2 linked regions of the Drosophila melanogaster genome follow. The protein of the gene in region 2 interacts with the protein of the main gene of each other region in a pairwise test. Each region holds a gene or a part of one and is shown on either strand. Other genes may lie near its edges.

Region 1 (9,236 bases), on a different chromosome or scaffold from region 2:
TCACATCGGATACGGCTCGCGAAAAGGAGTGGGATAACATCGCTGCCATCCATGCGGGCGTTATTCAGACGACAACCTGGTCGTTTGGCAAGAACCGTATGGGCGAGCACCGCCTGGTTCCGAAACAGTTCCAAAACAGCAACCGCACCAACTTCCAGAACGAGACCACATGCATTGTGCTGACGCACTGTGGCAACTTTGTGATCATTGGCTATAGCAGTGGCGACATTGAGCGCTTTAATATCCAGTCTGGACTCCATCGGGCTACCTATGGCTCTCCAGCCCACAAGATGGCAGTACGCGGCTTGGCCAGCGACAATCTTAACCAAACCGTCATCTCTGGCTGTTCGGAAGGCTTGCTCAAGTTCTGGTCATTCAAAGGAAAGGGTAAGGAATTGCCTACAACATAAGTTAATAAAACATTTGTAAAATCATACCATCCTTCAGTTGACAAGCCCTTAGCGACTCTACGCCTGGCAGATGGAATCGCCCTGATTCGACAGCACCGAGAGAGCTCCATGCTGGCCATTGGTCTGGAAACATTCAAGATTTTTGTCGTAGACATGCACACGAGGGTCATTGTTCGCAAGTTCGTCGGTCACACAGCCAAGCTGAATGACCTCACTTTCAGTCCGGATAGCCGCTGGCTGATCACCGCCGCCATGGACTCCACGATCAAGGTGTGGGACATACCTTCCTCCTACATGGTGGATCACTTCCGCGTCGAGGCGCCTTGCGTATCGTTAAGTATGTCGCCTAATGGCGACTTTCTGGCCACCGCACATGTTGGACTTTTGGGCATTTACCTGTGGGCCAACAAGACGCTGTTTAATCAGATTTCCCTGCGCTCCATCGATCCTTTGGAGCCGGCTCCGTACGTGGGATTGCCCACGAATGTGTGCGATGCCATGGAACTGGAAGATGGCATGAAGGAGCTAGAGATCGACGAAGAGGACGAGTCAAAACTCGGCGAGCTAGTTGACACCAAGTACGAAACTCCAACGCAGCTGTCCGAGGAACTGATAACGCTATCCGGGTTGGCTGCATCCCGTTGGCAGAATCTATTGGATTTGGAGCTAATCAAGCAACGTAACAAGCCCAAGGCACCACCAAAAGCTCCCAAACAGGCCCCATTCTTCCTGCCCACGGTTTCGGGACTGGAACTGCGCTTCGATGTGGAGAACGGTCAGAAGGAGGAGGATGAATCCCGGATTCGGAAGGCTTCTACTCTCAACAATCTTACTGCCTTTGGCCAGCTGCTGGAGGAAACTGCTGACTCCCTGGACTTCGCATCGGCTGTGGCGCACTTGACCCAACTAGGACCATCGATGGTTGACTTTGAGATCAAATCTCTGCACCCGGAGGCTGGAGGAACACTCCTTGCCATGCTGCAGTTCCTCAAACTCGTTAAGTTCATGTTTGGAACCAATCTGAACTTTGAGCTGGCTCAATCGTATCTAAGCGTCTTCTTGCGATCCCACGGTCTCGGGTTGACGGAGTTCCCGGATTTGGTAAAGGAGCTGCGCACTGTGTCCCAGGTGCAGCAGGAGGCTTGGCAGCGTGTGGAGGAGAAGCTCATCTATGGAACTGGAGTTGTGGCCGCTCTCCGAAACTTTGCGCACTAGTTTCCACCAGATTATGTTGTAGTTCATTTTGAAATTTTGTAAATAAATTTACAAAACATTTTACATTTTGAATTTGCTTTTGATGTTATTCCTTGCGACAGGCAGGTCCGCAGATTCATTTATAGGATGCTTTATAATCCTCAACAACTACAAAATCCCTCATTATATCCTTAACGATTTAATGGCATTACCATATATATCCCAAACTATCCTTATCTTTCTTTTTATCTTTTACTTATCCCAGATAGCATTTTAAATAATGTACTCAAGACGAAACTACTGCCATATGCCTGATATCTCCAATTGGCATTATTCGAATGATTCACACCTGCGGGTGACTATGCAGCGATTATGGAATCAATAGATAGCCGGAGGAAGGCAAGTGATACTGGAACTATGGGAAGAAGAATATACAGCATTTGGGTTGAAATTGTGTATTAATTATTTATTTGTTATATCCGTTTAAACTAACGCTTTTATTTATGCTGGAATTAAATAACTTAAACTTGTTCCTAGACGTGTTCGCTGGCGCGGACTTTAGATACGGTTCTAGTGGCGGCTAATTTCAATTTCAGTTTAGTTTAGTTTCAGTTTCCGTTTTCGATTCTTTGACAATCCAACGCAACATAAACATAAAGAAAAATGTTGGTTTACAAACAACCACGCGTTATAGACATAGTGCATATATCTGATAAGTTTCTTTGATTTATACCTAAATATCGTAGCTTGCATGAAATAACTTTAGATCTCTCGATTGGTTGGGCCTCCTAGTGTGAATTGGATGGTGTTTTAAGGTGCTTTTGGGAGTTCTTCGGCACTTGCAAGCGCAATTACAGTGTTCCGGGAGCTGGTTTACATATTATTACGGCTTGTTGGTTGGGGTATTATTAGGGCTGTGTGTCCGGGGATGCAACACGCAGCGGGGGCGCTTAACTCGATGTGCACTGCTGGACGCGTGGGCCATCCTGATAGCCGCCATCGTCCTCATCGTAGGCCATGCGCTGGTGTTGCTGGCGACGTTGCTTGGGATCAAAGTCCTCCTGCGAAAGATAAGCAAATCGATAAATAAATTAATTATAAATAATATATTATTTATATATCGTGATATAAACTACTACTGAAATACTCACCAAAACCGTCTGCTCTGCATCGATTGGAATGTCAACCTCCGGCGCCGGGGGTAGGCACTGTTTAAGCGTGGGCACCACCGACGGATTGATCACCTCCGGGAAGATCACCTCGAACTGGATGATCAACGTGCCCTTCTCCATGGGGTTCTTGAAAATGGGCATACCCTCCTCGGCAATACACTTGGTCATCTCATGCCTGATAACCTCGCCGGGCTGTGTGGACACAATCAGATCGCGATCATCGAGCGTTTTAACGATTCGCTGGAATCCGCAGAGCGCTTCGACAAGTTGCAACGGCATCTTCATCATTAAATCCTGTCCGGCGTGCGCGAATGTGGAGTGCTCCTTCTCGTCCAAAAGAATAATAATATCGCCCGGCTGAGATTCCGGCTCATGATCGCCCTCTCCCGTGAACACGATCTTCTGGCCATCCCGCATTCCCTTCTCAATGTGCACTTCCAATACCTTGCGTTCCCGCACCGTTTTGCGGCCACTGCAGTTCTTGCAGCGGTCCTTCTCCTGAATGGTCTCGCCAGTTCCCGAACACTTGCGGCACACCTGCTCGATGTGCTGCATGATGCCGGGGGCGATCTGCTGAACCCGTGTCTCCACACCGTTACCACGGCACTGCAAGCACTTCTCAATGCTGCCCTTCTTGCCGCCGCGACCCTCGCACTTGTCGCAGATCACATTCTTCTGGAGCTGCAGCTTGCGGGTCGCTCCATTGTACAGCTCCTCCAGCTGTACGGACATCTGGTGCACCACGTCCTTGCCACGCCTCTCGCGCCTGCGTCCACCGCCACTACCTCCGAATCCAGCGCCAAAGAACTTCTCAAAGAAGTCCATAGGATTGCGGAAGTCACCGGAATCTGCGCCGCCCTTCTTGATGGCCGCCTCGCCGCCTTCGTCGTACACCTGTCGCTTGTCCGCATCGGACAGCACTTCGTAAGCCTGCGAAATGGCCTTGAATTTCTCGCCCTCGTTGGGGTTCTTGTCCGGATGGTACTTGAGGGCCAGCTTGCGGTAAGCCTTCTTCAGCTCGTCGGGCGTGGCATTAGGCTTCACGCCAAGTATATCATAATATCCAGTCTCCTTAACCATTTTGTTTGCTGTTTACTGTGAACAGACGAAGTAGTGCGTAATTACTATCTGGGAGCTTGTAAATAACAGATTGGGGAACAGATTTGTGTATGCTCCAGGCATATATAGGTAGAAATTATGAAGTTGTGTAATACCGAAAATTTTTGAAGTTTCAACCGATTTGGATGCCAGTTCTTATAAAAAATGAAAAAAAAAAATTTATTTTGTGGTGCTGTTTCTATGGCAGCTAGGTTCCCGATGGAAGTTATTGTCAGTTTTATATCTAATGACATTTCATAGTTCAAAGGGCTGATTCCTCTCTAACTAGTATTGTAAACAAAAATCAGTAACCTATATTTTGTTACCCATTTTTTTTTGTAGAAATACATTTTTCAAAATCCAGAAACCACTCGATCATATGACCCTTTCTTGTTTATTGATTTCTACAGCTGTGACTTGATGCCATCACCCATTTTTTTCCGTGTAATTTGGGGGGCAACGGAAAATAGTAGGCATTGCCGGAAGCTAGAGCCCGGGATTCAAGGTCGTTACGCCGCCATGTGTTCGCGAAAATAACTGCGACGTTTTCTAGTCGATTTTCTAGAACAATTGTCGTATTTCAATACGGCGAGCAGCTGACGCTCTCTTTCCCCCTTTCGACAACAACCGCTTCTCTTTCGCACGCACACATACACACAGTTTCTAGAAGTTTTCGTCAGCGCATTGCAGCCCTGGTTTTGCGAACGGCGACTGCAAAGCGGAGAGGGTAATAATGAAAAAACCGTAAAAGAACGAAAAGGGGAACAAATGAAAGGAGAAAGGGCAGAGTCGAAAATAAGAATGGAAATGAATTCTAGAAGCAGCCTTCGATTTAGCAGGCAAATCAATAGATACAATTATTATATTTTCACCAGTGCCTAGCACACACATGCACCAGACTTTGCGCTTGTATGCGTACCAACATGTGCCGCGCAAGACGCTGCGTCAGAAGAATTCGATTGAACAAAGAAGAGAAAAAAAGCTAGATGGCCATCGATTTTGCAAATCTAATGCCAAAAATCGAAGGCAAATTCTCTGACAAAAAACAATTATCGATGATTACTTAACGACAGAGATGAGAAAACCAAGCGCAAAGGAAGTGTCTACCAAGTAGACACACACATTGGCAAACCGCACAATGCGAGACGAAATGTGCAAAATCAGGTGGTAATCTTAATTAGCCCAGAGCCGCCCCAGCTCACCTTTTTTCGTGTCGTGTCGTGCCTAAAGCAAATAGTAACTTTCGCAGCCCGATTCCTGGAAGTTTCACTTTTACAACAAATTTAATTTACGTCGAATACTTTTCAACAGCTTACTATGGCCGCCACGCTAGGAAGAAAACTGGAAACCAGTGTGACCAGAGCGGCAAACGGCAAGAAAAACCACAACATCAGGGTTGCCTCGCACCGCAAAGGTCCGAAAACTGGTATTTTAGTCATTTTCAGGTGATTAGCAATTTTTGATAATTTGATGGGATATAATATGTATTTCTTAAGTGTGATGGGCATTACAGAAATAATTTTGGCAATGCATTAATAAATACTGTGTTGAATAAATATTTTTCTTATTTATTAAGTTGAGTGGTTCTCAAAGTACTCCTTCTGAGTCCACGATTCTTATTAGCAATCGTTAGCCCTGGTTAGTGATATTCATCAGCTGTTTAGCAGTACAGTAAATGGTCACACTGTTTTGAAAGCCGATTATTTAATAAACATTTGGAAAACTTTATAAAATAAAACTACTTATCCGAAATGAGACACGTGCAGTTTCTGGCCCGCACCGTTCTGGTGCAAAACAATAATGTGGAGGAGGCGTGTCGTCTGTTAAATCGCGTCTTGGGAAAAGAAGAACTGCTCGACCAATTTCGCCGCACGCGATTCTACGAAAAGCCGTATCAGGTTCGACTTTAAATAACTTAACTATTTATTATTATTTACTGTATTAAACTATTGTATAGGTTCGTCGTCGCATCAACTTCGAGAAATGCAAGGCCATTTACAACGAGGACATGAACCGAAAAATTCAGTTCGTACTGCGCAAAAATCGCGCCGAACCTTTTCCTGGATGCAGTTAAACTAGTTTTTGAGGCAATAAAATGTAGGAATTAAATAAATTGCTTATTTTCTAGTACGAGATTTGCTGTCGCTGTCGATAAATGGACTTTGCAATTTCGATTTTATCCATTCAAAAAAGTATGAAGTTTTTGTGTAAAATGCTGGCTTGCAAGTTTTAAGTACGCAGGGCTTCTGTCCGTAGGAGATTATGCCGGCTGCATAAGTGAGTGTGACCTTTCCACGTATCACGGTCTCCATTAAGGGTCCCCCGGAATCGCCGGGACTGGTGTCATTCCCATCCAGACCACCAGCACATATCTGACTGCCCAAATTAAAGTCATAATTTGATTTGCACACATCTGGATGCCGTTCCGCGATGAAGCTGCGCAAGAGTACCTCACTTGCAATTCCTTGTCCCATGTCTGGCCAGCCGGATGCTTGAAACTTTCGCTTATGCGCGGCCAATTTTTGGGCTCTTGGAAGGCAAATAGGTTGGATGGCTCTCGTATAGCTATAGGAAGATATAAAGATATATTATTTCAATTCATATCCTACTTCTATTTCGACCAGAGGAGAATCATTACTCACCGCACAGGAAACTTAAGACGCACGAGTGCTATGTCGTTTATCAGCCGCCTTCCCCGGTTGAATTGTTCATGCGTAATAATTTGGTCCACTTCAATTTCCATATAAAGAGGAGCGTACTGTCTTCTTCCATTCACAATAGCCCGATCGGGATTTGTGGACGTGTTATGTTCGCCCAGTCTCACTGTTTTGAGGGCATACGGATAGTCCATAAATGGATACTCCACGCAGTGCGCTGCGGTCAGGACGTACCAGTTGTTTATTAGGGATCCACCACATTTTGGTACCAGCTTCTGGGACAAATTGTTTTTATTTCCATATAACAGCATGGCCATCCAGGGAAACTCATTCAGCGCCGGTATTTTGCCCTTCGTAGGTTTTCTTCTTGATTGTCCACAAGTATCGTGTGGCAGATACGTTTCCCACTTGGGGCAGCACACTTTATTAGTGCCGCATCTTCTAAGACCTATTATATTTTTCCTGGATGAGTTCATAACTGCTCTGGTCCTGGGACACTTATCCAGATTCACGCATTCCGTATCAAATTGACACCCTGAAGGAAGGATAGATTTTAAATTGCGTACAAAGTTTATGCATGCTGAAAGTTACCTGCACCATTTGAATAAGGCACAAGAATTATTTGCAGCATAAGCAAAAATGATCCTATAAGTCCGAACAACATGTTGATCCACGAATATTTCACATACAACTGTTCAAGACTGTTAGGACTGTCGAAGCTATTTATTCTTATTTTTAACATTGTTCTGAGTAGTTTTATTCAATTTTTAATCAATTTATTGCTCATCAAAAGAACAATTTTTTATGCTAGTAGCGACAGAGCTCTCAAATATTACGGAACTATTTAAAAATGTCATTATGAAAACAGTTTCGGATGCAGAAAACGGTTTCTGGTTAGAATTTTGCTGTTGAGTACCATATGTGTGCTTTGAGTGATTTTCTCTCTTTATGAGAATAACTTAGATAGCTTTTTGCGGCAGGAGAGACAAAATGAAGCTTTTGTGGCCGCAGTGTTCCACGGTATACGGCTCAGAATACTTTCTTTCCTCGAACGCAGCAGACCTGCCTACCTTTTCACGTAAACTAGAAATCTGAGAGATAAAACAAGTTACAAGTCAGGTCGATTTTTAAAGAAGTGATTTATAATAAAAGAAACAGAATACTTTTTGTGTGCTTTCTATAAAGTAAATTTTATATAGGAATTTATTGACATTGCTTGTGTGTGTGTAGGTGTGTGAAAGTAGCAAGTGCAGATACTTGAGCTATTCTCCGGTGGCCTTTTAATTCAATGGATTCCCAAACGTGCTTAAGTGTTCCCCGAATGCATCGATAATTCGCTCATGCGGCCAATTTACTCAATTTACACTTGTGTGTGTGTTTGCTTTGCATTCGCATCAATGTTGGCGTGTTATTTTGTGTTGCCTGCTTCTTGGCGTTCTTATTATTCTCCACTGCCTTACTGTGCCTGCTTTTGTTGTTGTCTTATCGATTTCGTGTGTTATTTTTAGCGTGATTTGCATATGTATGTATGTGTGCCTGCTTTCTCCCCCCTGTCACGCTCTCTAGTTGCGTGGGTGTGTGTGCTTGTTTTTGTGCTTCCTTTTTGCTCTTCCTTTATATTTTTGTGCTTTGAATGTGGTGCAATCGAATCTTAGGCTCTAATCAAATGAATTACGTCTTGTGTCACTTTCAGTCTTTTACAGCTAGAACATCATGGCGACGAGGAATCTGTTGGCCATCCTTCTTTTGGCCAGCATCTGCATGACCCAGGCATATCCGGCTTTGTTGCCCTACATCTACAGTGAGTAGCCAAAACTCCCCCACATCTCTTGACCCTTATTTATTCCGCTCTCCAAAGCTAATTTGCATTTGAAGCAACTAAGATTTAGAAGCAGAATGCCGAAAATTCTATACCCTTGCGGACTTTTATTTATTTATATAGTAATTAATCTTAAATAATGTGATAGTATAGGTTCACTTAACTCGCTCGTTTGGATTAATAATCATCTCCCAAATTAGATCCTTCCAAGCGCAGCGGTGATACGGCTTTCCCCCAAATCGAGGACGATGTAAGTGAACTGGACCAGCTGCGGAATGAACCGGGAGCGGTGATGGCCAAGCGTCAGCACGATGGAAGTACAGCCCGCACCACCACTACCACCAAGGAGAGTGTCGAGGAGGTCGCCGCTGTTCCCGAGCCAGGTGCACAACCAAATGCGAATATTATGCCCGACTTGGAGAGGCAGTTGGAGGTGGCGACGCCTCTGATTTCCACCACTACAACCACTAGCACGTCGGCCACCACCACTACGGCGACGTCCAAGGAGGAGGGCGAAAGGTCCCAGCTGGAGGAGCCGAAGACGCAGATCAAAACCGTAGTGGAGCCGACGGCCCATGCGAAGGTAAGTGGCCAGCCCCAATCCCTGCGAGAATCCCAGTCTAGAGCGCTTGGTAAACTCCAAACTCCTCTTTTGCAAAATCCAAGTGTATATCTACGAAACCACCCAAAAATCAACAGGCATTTTACGGGGCGGCTCGTCTAGCTTTTGGCCAAAATCCAGAGGTGCTACCAACGACCACCACAACAAGCACCACAACCACTACCACGACTACGACGGCAGCTCCTCCAACTGAAACCGAGCCAGAAGGGGATTCCCAATCACCAGCCGAACAGGAACCGGAAGCTAAACAAACGGAACCGGAAA
Region 2 (7,255 bases):
AGAGAGTAATTGTAGAGTAATAGCTCTTATCTTCAAAAATTAGGCCAACTATGGTTCTATGTCACAGTAACATTCTTTTCAACACTCGGATAAATCTCTCTTATTTTTTCTGTGTAGCCAGTGAACACACCTGCAAAAGACACACACACACACGTAAAACTGAGATTTGCAAACACACTTTCTCGCTCCCTCTCGCTCTAACCCTCGCAGACTCTATCCAAACCGCTCCCTCGACTCAAGTGACAGCAACAACTTTTCCGCTGTTTTAGGCTGGGCTCAGACGCCGACTGCGACGCGGGCAGCGGTGTCGCATACCTATCTACACTAAGCAAAAATCGCTACTGTTTTTATAAAGATATTGAAAATCATTATAATAATCCTATGGCGAGAAAGTCTCTAGAATGTAGTTCTAACCATTTTTAAATGTTAACAACATTTTCCATGATAGAAACACCCCCAAGTTTGTCGATTGTTTTCAGTGTATCAATCCAGCAGTGTCGCAGGGTCAATGGACAGGGGAAAGGGGGTGTTGGGTGCTTGTGTACTTGCAAACAGGTGAAAGAGAAACTGCAGAGGGGGTCAGCTGGAGGCACTATCTGCTTACGATCTTGTACAAGCCAAAATCGCAGTAAACAAACAAGCGAAGTGCACGTAAAAAAGAAAACACTGACCCACTACACCCCTGGAAATGTTTTGTTTTCGTTAAGTTGCGCCGCTGTGTTATATTTCAGCGTTTTACTGTTCGTACAAGCCCCAAATTGCATCACACTTGTGGAATTTGACAGATTTGTGTTTTCGCTCCTAACTCTACAGCAGCTTAGAGGCCAATGACGAAACGCGATAAACATTATCGCACTTGGGTAACATGGAAATAGTTGGGCTTGCATAAATCATGCTTTAGAGAAAGTACTAAAGCTGCTGGGTGATTTGAAGTTAAGTTAAGTCATCATAAACATCTACAAAAACATTATGCTAAATGAAATACATATATGTTTATAATATAAGTATTACTACTTTTGTACTTCTATAATCTTGAAATATTTGCAATCCACACATATGTATCTATGCATCTGTAAATAGGGGAAAATTATAAGCCTCGGTAAGGCAATCTAAGATACATAACTGCACTGGTATCTAAGAACTCCCCGACAAGAACCATAAACCTGGAGACATGCCCCAAGCATAGCTTCCATTCAGGTGAAGATAATTAATTGGGTCCTGATAAGCGTGAGATGGGGTGTTAGAGCCTCAAATAATTCAGACAGCTGGGATTTAGATAAAACGGCGGCGTGCGGTACACTTGCTTTTTTATTTTATCTCGCATACTTTTTGGTTTACGAAGCAAATGGCAAAACAACAAATGACAATAGTTGTTTTTGCTGTTCTTTGGGTGGAAACCCGCTCGTTAGATGGTGGTGGGCTGGAGGGGGGTGGAGAGACATCGACACCCCGATCCACACTATTGTCGTCCCCCTCGCGCGCATGCGTGGCAGATAAGCTGACGTCTTTGCTTGCGCTGGTGTGTGCGGCTTGAAAAGGTATTTGTCTCCGTGTCTCGAGCCCCCCGGCACCCGCCACCCCCTCGCCTGTTGCTGCAACTTTAGTTTTTGACCGACCGCATTTTTTAAGCTTTCTTTTCCACCTGTTTTCCGTTTTCCTCTCTCACTGTGCGCTGTTTATATTCCACGAGCCTCTCTCAGACACACACACACACGTCGCCTATAAGCCGCACTCACACAGGTGAGGCTTCACAGTAATGTGCGAGCGCGGATATACAGTGGACCCTCAAATAAGTAATCTAATTGAAAATAACATCCTTGAAGCTCTTTAGGCAATTATTTAAATTAATAATCTAACCAATTTCAAATGATTGAACTTAGTATATGTTCCAGATTTCCCGCAATCGAGTATTACTTCACCGACGCATTACTGTATGTACAAAAGTGGGAGCGGCGGCAGGTTTCGTATTGATTTTCAATGCTTTGTTCAATTCATTCACTAATTCACAGACACAGGCTCAATTCGCTGTATGTATTATTCTAATTGACCGCATTTTCCGGTGAAATGTGTGATATTCATATGTATGTGTATACACTCCCTTCGCACACACACGCACAACACACAGGTATCGATATCACGTTAGCATTTCGATATCATCCTCTCACCTAGCAGCACATTCTTTTTCTAATTAGCACGAATAATCCAAGTCTCTGTCACGTTTGCTTGGCATTTCAACTGGCTTTCGGGCTTATTTTCGGGTTTAGCTTCGGTTTTAGGCGTTACAACTGCGATCACTCGAGCATTGTTTCAATTTTAATTCAAACATTAAAAGTAACTGTAGTCCAGCACTTAATCCTCTCTTCTTCTTCCACCTCCTTATTACCTGTCTTCGCCGTTCTCTCCGTCCTTTTCTGGCAGCCGCCGCCTTTGGTCTAGTGCTTTCTCGCTCCTCTTTGATTTTTATTTTTAAGACGGCTTTCTTTCGCTCCGTTCTTTTTGATTCTCACAGACCGTTTTTCTATTTTCTATTTTTCTGTCGCTTGCGGAAAATAAACGTACGAATAACAATAGCCCCGCGACGCCAATGTTGTTGTTGCCGTGGCTTTTCAGATACTGTTTTTGTTGTTATTGTGGAACGCACGCGAGCGTCATCCGCTGTTTAAGCGCGGTTAGTACATGTCAGTCCGGTACCAGAAATCGTACTAACTTGGCTCATTCGCTGGCCTTTTGAGTTGTTTGTATATATTTGTATTAAGCCACTTGTTGAGAGAGTGCGACAGAGAGAGAGAGGGAGAGAAAGAGATCTCTCTCTACACTAGCGGGCACCGCAATAGAATCAAAATTATTGTATAAGTATTTAATTTAATTTTATTACAAGTATAAGGTATTCAGCATGTTATATGCTGAATTAGCATTATGTATCCATTGCATTTTTGGAGATTGGCTTTTAAAAACAACTAGAATTAATACGAGTTCGTCCCCACAAACTTTTCATCCCATTAGTAAACCTTAAGATTTCTATTTACACGTTGCTCAGAAAATCAATTTTTATTGAATAGGTCCTACTACTAATTAAAACTAGGAAAACTATCAGCTGCTCCTCGCCTTCTTGTTGGCCTTGATCAGCTTGGCCTTCAGGGCCTTCACGTCCACCTTGCTGGAGGAGGAGCCATCCTCCTTCTTCCGACTTGAAGCAGCTGACTCCTCCGTGGGCGGGACAAAGTCCTTGTTTCGGCGTTCGTCCTGGCGCTTGGCCGCCTCCTTCTGCTTTTCGGTGCGCTCCTGGTTGCGCTTCGCTTGCTTCTGCTCCTGGTTGAGGAAGTACTCTCCGCTGGCCAGCTGCTTGTCCACCTTGCTCTCCGGCTGGCTGGGCGGGAATGGGGTGTACTCCTTCTTTTGCTTCTTGACCTTCGGCTGCTTGCGTTTGCTAATGTTTTTGTTCTTGAACTTGGGCAGGAATCGGGACCAGTCCTCGTTGGCCAGACGCGGATCCTTCATCAGCTCCCGCTTGATCATCAGAGCCTTAATGTTGTATATGGGGTGCACATTGTTCATGGTCTCCAGGACTATATCCCGCACCTGCTGAAGGCCCTTGTAAGGACCCAAGGCGGAGACTGTGTTTCCTTGAACCAAAACGTAGCAATCGGTGAGCAGTTCAATGGACTTAAGGGTGGCGCCGTTAGGTCCGATCAAACGCTGTCGCCGCTTCACGAACTTCTCCTTCTTGTGCACAAGGTTTCCGATTTTGATGATGTCACACCCAATGTCGTCCTGCAGGACCCGCTTGGCCTGCTCGAAGGGAACACTTCTGGCCATCAGCTTGATCATATCCCGCGCCTTGATGATGATGTAGGGATCCCAGGTCTTGCGACTGGTCTTCACCACCATGCTCCCCTCCATCAAATCTAGCTCCGCCTTCAGGTGGTGCTCCGCCAAGCACTGCTCCACCAGAGGCCAAACCTCCTTAAGATAGCGCTCCCGATATTTGGGAAACAGCGTGGCGAAGGAGCTCTCCTCCACCATCCCATGCGGGTTGTCCTCCTGCCTGAAGGCAGGGATCTTCATGGACCACGCATTGTCCACCGGCTCGGTGCTGATTTTGGTCTCCTCCGCTTCACTTTCGCTCATCGTTACTCGAGTTTTCAGAAGCTAATTCTACAGGTAAGATTCTTGCACGCTTGTTTTGGCCAGGCTGCCAGATCAGCGGTAAATGCGTGTGACCATATCAGGGAAAACTGGTTGGTTAATATTATTGATAGATTACCTATTTAAAGGTTTATTTTTATCTTGATTATAAAATAAATTTTTCGATTGAGAATGTTTTAAAATATATATTCAAATACAATTATATTTGATCGTGTGCCAGATAAATGCCTTAACAAAATTGCGATTCCAATGTAACTCAAATATTAAGGATATTGGGTACATCAATACTAATAAAATATGCAATTCTGAATATCTAAAATATAAGAAATAAGTCAAACAATACATGATTTAGCCCTGACACCTTCACAAATTTTATTTAATTGAAAAAGAGCTCAGGGTATCTATAACTTATGCCATTATATGTGTTAGAATAATTAAGATGAATTAAAATCTTAATTCAATAAATTTCTTTTTATAGCATTCGCTATTATCCACCGTGGATAGTTTTTGAAACTGTTAACGGGAAACTAAATCCATTTATATTAAAAGTGTTTTTAAGTAAATAATTATTGTTTGTACTTTCAAAATAGGGGTATTAATTAGATTACCATATTCCGACTATGCGTTTTGGTATTTTCTAAACAAACTTTTATTTTCAAGCAAGGAAAGGTCACACGATTTTGTGAGCCTAAGCAAAGCGCACGCAGGAGTTTTCGGAGAGATAGAAAAATCGTCGCCAATTAAATATTTAACAAATTGTAAGGCCGATAAACAATTGTACATTTAATATATATTTTCTGGAAGGCTTATTACCGATTTGCTCGACCTAAGTGTGCGGACCTAACCGCATGTCCAATTTTGGGGCGTGGACGTGAACGAAAGCCGATAATTAGGATTAAACAAAGAAAAATCAATATAAAGTGGCCGATATTGTTGAAGTTGCTATTAAAAGACAATTTTCTAGCATTTCCCTTGGCTGCGGATTTAATTACGCCTTTGTGAAAAATTGTGAAAATCAAAATGGCGTCATTGTTGTGTGCGTGGCAAGGCGCTGCCAACCTGCTTTAACAGAAAAACTAAGTAACTTTCACATTTTGCTTGTACCTAAAGTCAAATTTGGGTTGTAACCAAAAACGAGGTAGAGAGACATTTGTGCTACAAACGTTCAGACGAACGCATGTTTTCGTATCAATACCAATACGTCGTAATATATAATTTTCGGTTTTCTGAGAGTGGACAGCCTTCAGGGCTGCACTGGCTTATCGATTACCGATAGCCGCGAGCACACGTCCGAATTTCATCAGTGCCTGAAAAAATCGCAACGCGTAAAACACGTTTTCTGCAGCTCCAAAACAAAAAACAAAACATTCAAGCGGAGGGATTATTGGTTTACTGCCAGTTGAGACAATAAAATAACAGCATTTATCATATTTTGGCGCTGCTGCTGGAATTTATTTAATACTCGTCTTAAAAGTGAATTGTAGGGATATAGCAAAATTTTATCCTGCTAAATTTGTTCTCAGACTGGTGTTTTCTCCTATTTTAGATACTATTGCAGTCCTTGAAAAAGCGAATTCTTATGGAATTACGTAATCAGTGGAAATTTAGTATCTATTAAGACACCCATACCAACAAAAGCGAGTGTCGGTGCACACACGCACGATCCAACACACGCGCACACGTTGCGTATGGTCACACCTACAAGTGTGGAAGAGAGACGGCTATAGGGAGTTAGCGTTGCCAGATAAATTTTCTTCTTTCGCACGACTAACAAAGAAAATGGTGAGTTATATTGGCTAGGAAATGCAACAACAGTTGTGCTTTATTTAATGTTTTTATTCGACAGCCTCGTATAGTTCCACTGCAATTGCTGAGGTGCCTGCGGGTGCTTTTGGACAATAATGGTGGAATTTTAAGTGCAGTGGAGGTGAAACGCATTTCGGGGTAAGTTCACCACTTGTCAGCAGCGACACCTATCGGCGTTTGCTAATATCAAGTTTTTCGCCCACAGTTTGATGGCCAAGTATTCAAAAAAACTCGTCTCGAAATGTGTGTATGTACAAATTCTGAAATCCACAAAGACGGAACTATTGGGCGACTTTATGGCGGTGGGCGGTTGGTCGCTGGTCTACACCTGGTTAAATGATGCCATCAGGGCCATGAACTGGCCGCTGGTACAGGAGATCCTGGAACTGCTGCTCCTTTCTCCCGTGGATGTCAATCGCCTCAAGATAAACTCAGCACCTATTCTGGTCAAGGGGCTGTGCAAGGATGGCGGCAACGAAGGTAAGTTTTCTTTGATAAGTCTTACTCTAGTCGTAGATTAGTGTTTTTGGGTCATGTTTTGGGCTGTCCTTTATGCTTTTAATTACCTAGGGATTACTAATTGGCTTTTCTCGACCCCGTTTTCCAGGTGTACGCATTCTAGCCAAGCGTTTGGTAGAGCAGTGGCTGAAGATTGTGACGGAAAACACAAGCATGACGATCCAAGGTGCTGCGCCACATATTGCAGCCACTACTGCCTCTCAGGTTCCTGCATCCGTTTCTGGAGCTGGCTCCGCTTCAGTTCCGGACTCTGCCTCTTCTTCAGACAGCACTGATAGCGCCGGAGCACCTGTGACGTATACCATCACCTCGGCGGCCAACAGTAGCAATTCCAACAGCATTACCATCAAGTGGAAGCCTTTGTTGGACAACCCAGATGGTGGCGACGAAACGGATTCTGGCACACAATCGAAAGACAACGAGGTGGAACATCTGGAAAAGGGCTCCTCCGCAACCCACTTATTAGCAGATGCTAGTCTGGGGAAAAAGTCCGGGTTAGATGATAGTAGCTCCGCGGCGGAGGTTAAGTCTGGGGAGGACGTGGATAATAAGAAGCATAAGAGCTCAAAGAGCGACAAAAGTAAACGGTCCGAGAAGGAGCGCGAGAAGGATAGAAAGAAGGAAAGTTCAAGTCATAGGTCCTCCTCATCTAGCCATAAGTCGTCCTCTTCCTCGTCATCCTCCTCTTCGAAGAGCAGTTCTTCCAAGAGCTCCTCATCTTCTTCCTCTTCCCATCGCAGTTCTAGCGATAAATACCGCGATAAAGACAAGGCTCGCTCAAGTT

What was found. Proteins that work in one complex are often made in the same cells at the same time.
Region 1: the proteins of dbe (region 2) and Droj2 interact in a two-hybrid assay, tested with the Drosophila melanogaster proteins (one large-scale study listed by BioGRID).

The regions. Positions count from the first base shown.
Region 1 is NT_033777.3:13,378,099-13,387,334, reverse strand, and holds Droj2 (DnaJ-like-2), read right to left. Parts: upstream 5,230-9,236; 5' UTR 5,191-5,229; exon of another isoform or gene 5,132-5,190; 5' UTR 5,077-5,131; intron 4,514-5,076; exon of another isoform or gene 4,223-4,513; intron 4,071-4,222; exon of another isoform or gene 3,872-4,070; 5' UTR 3,857-3,871; coding exon 2,756-3,856; intron 2,666-2,755; coding exon 2,555-2,665; 3' UTR 2,052-2,554; downstream 1-2,051. Other genes in the region: CG9799 (uncharacterized protein), read left to right, coding at 1-387, 448-1,625; mRpS21 (mitochondrial ribosomal protein S21), read left to right, coding at 5,626-5,772, 5,832-5,948; CG8870 (uncharacterized protein), read right to left, coding at 5,992-6,439, 6,517-7,066, 7,123-7,195; CG9813 (uncharacterized protein), read left to right, coding at 8,245-8,332, 8,551-8,933, 9,017-9,236.
Region 2 is NT_033779.5:865,649-872,903, forward strand, and holds dbe (dribble), read right to left. Parts: upstream 4,210-7,255; 5' UTR 4,129-4,209; coding exon 3,091-4,128; 3' UTR 3,025-3,090; downstream 1-3,024. Other genes in the region: PNUTS (phosphatase 1 nuclear targeting subunit), read left to right, coding at 5,926-5,928, 5,993-6,090, 6,158-6,432, 6,560-7,255. UniProt on the Drosophila melanogaster protein: Required for 40S ribosome biogenesis. Involved in nucleolar processing of pre-18S ribosomal RNA and ribosome assembly. Binds to RNA.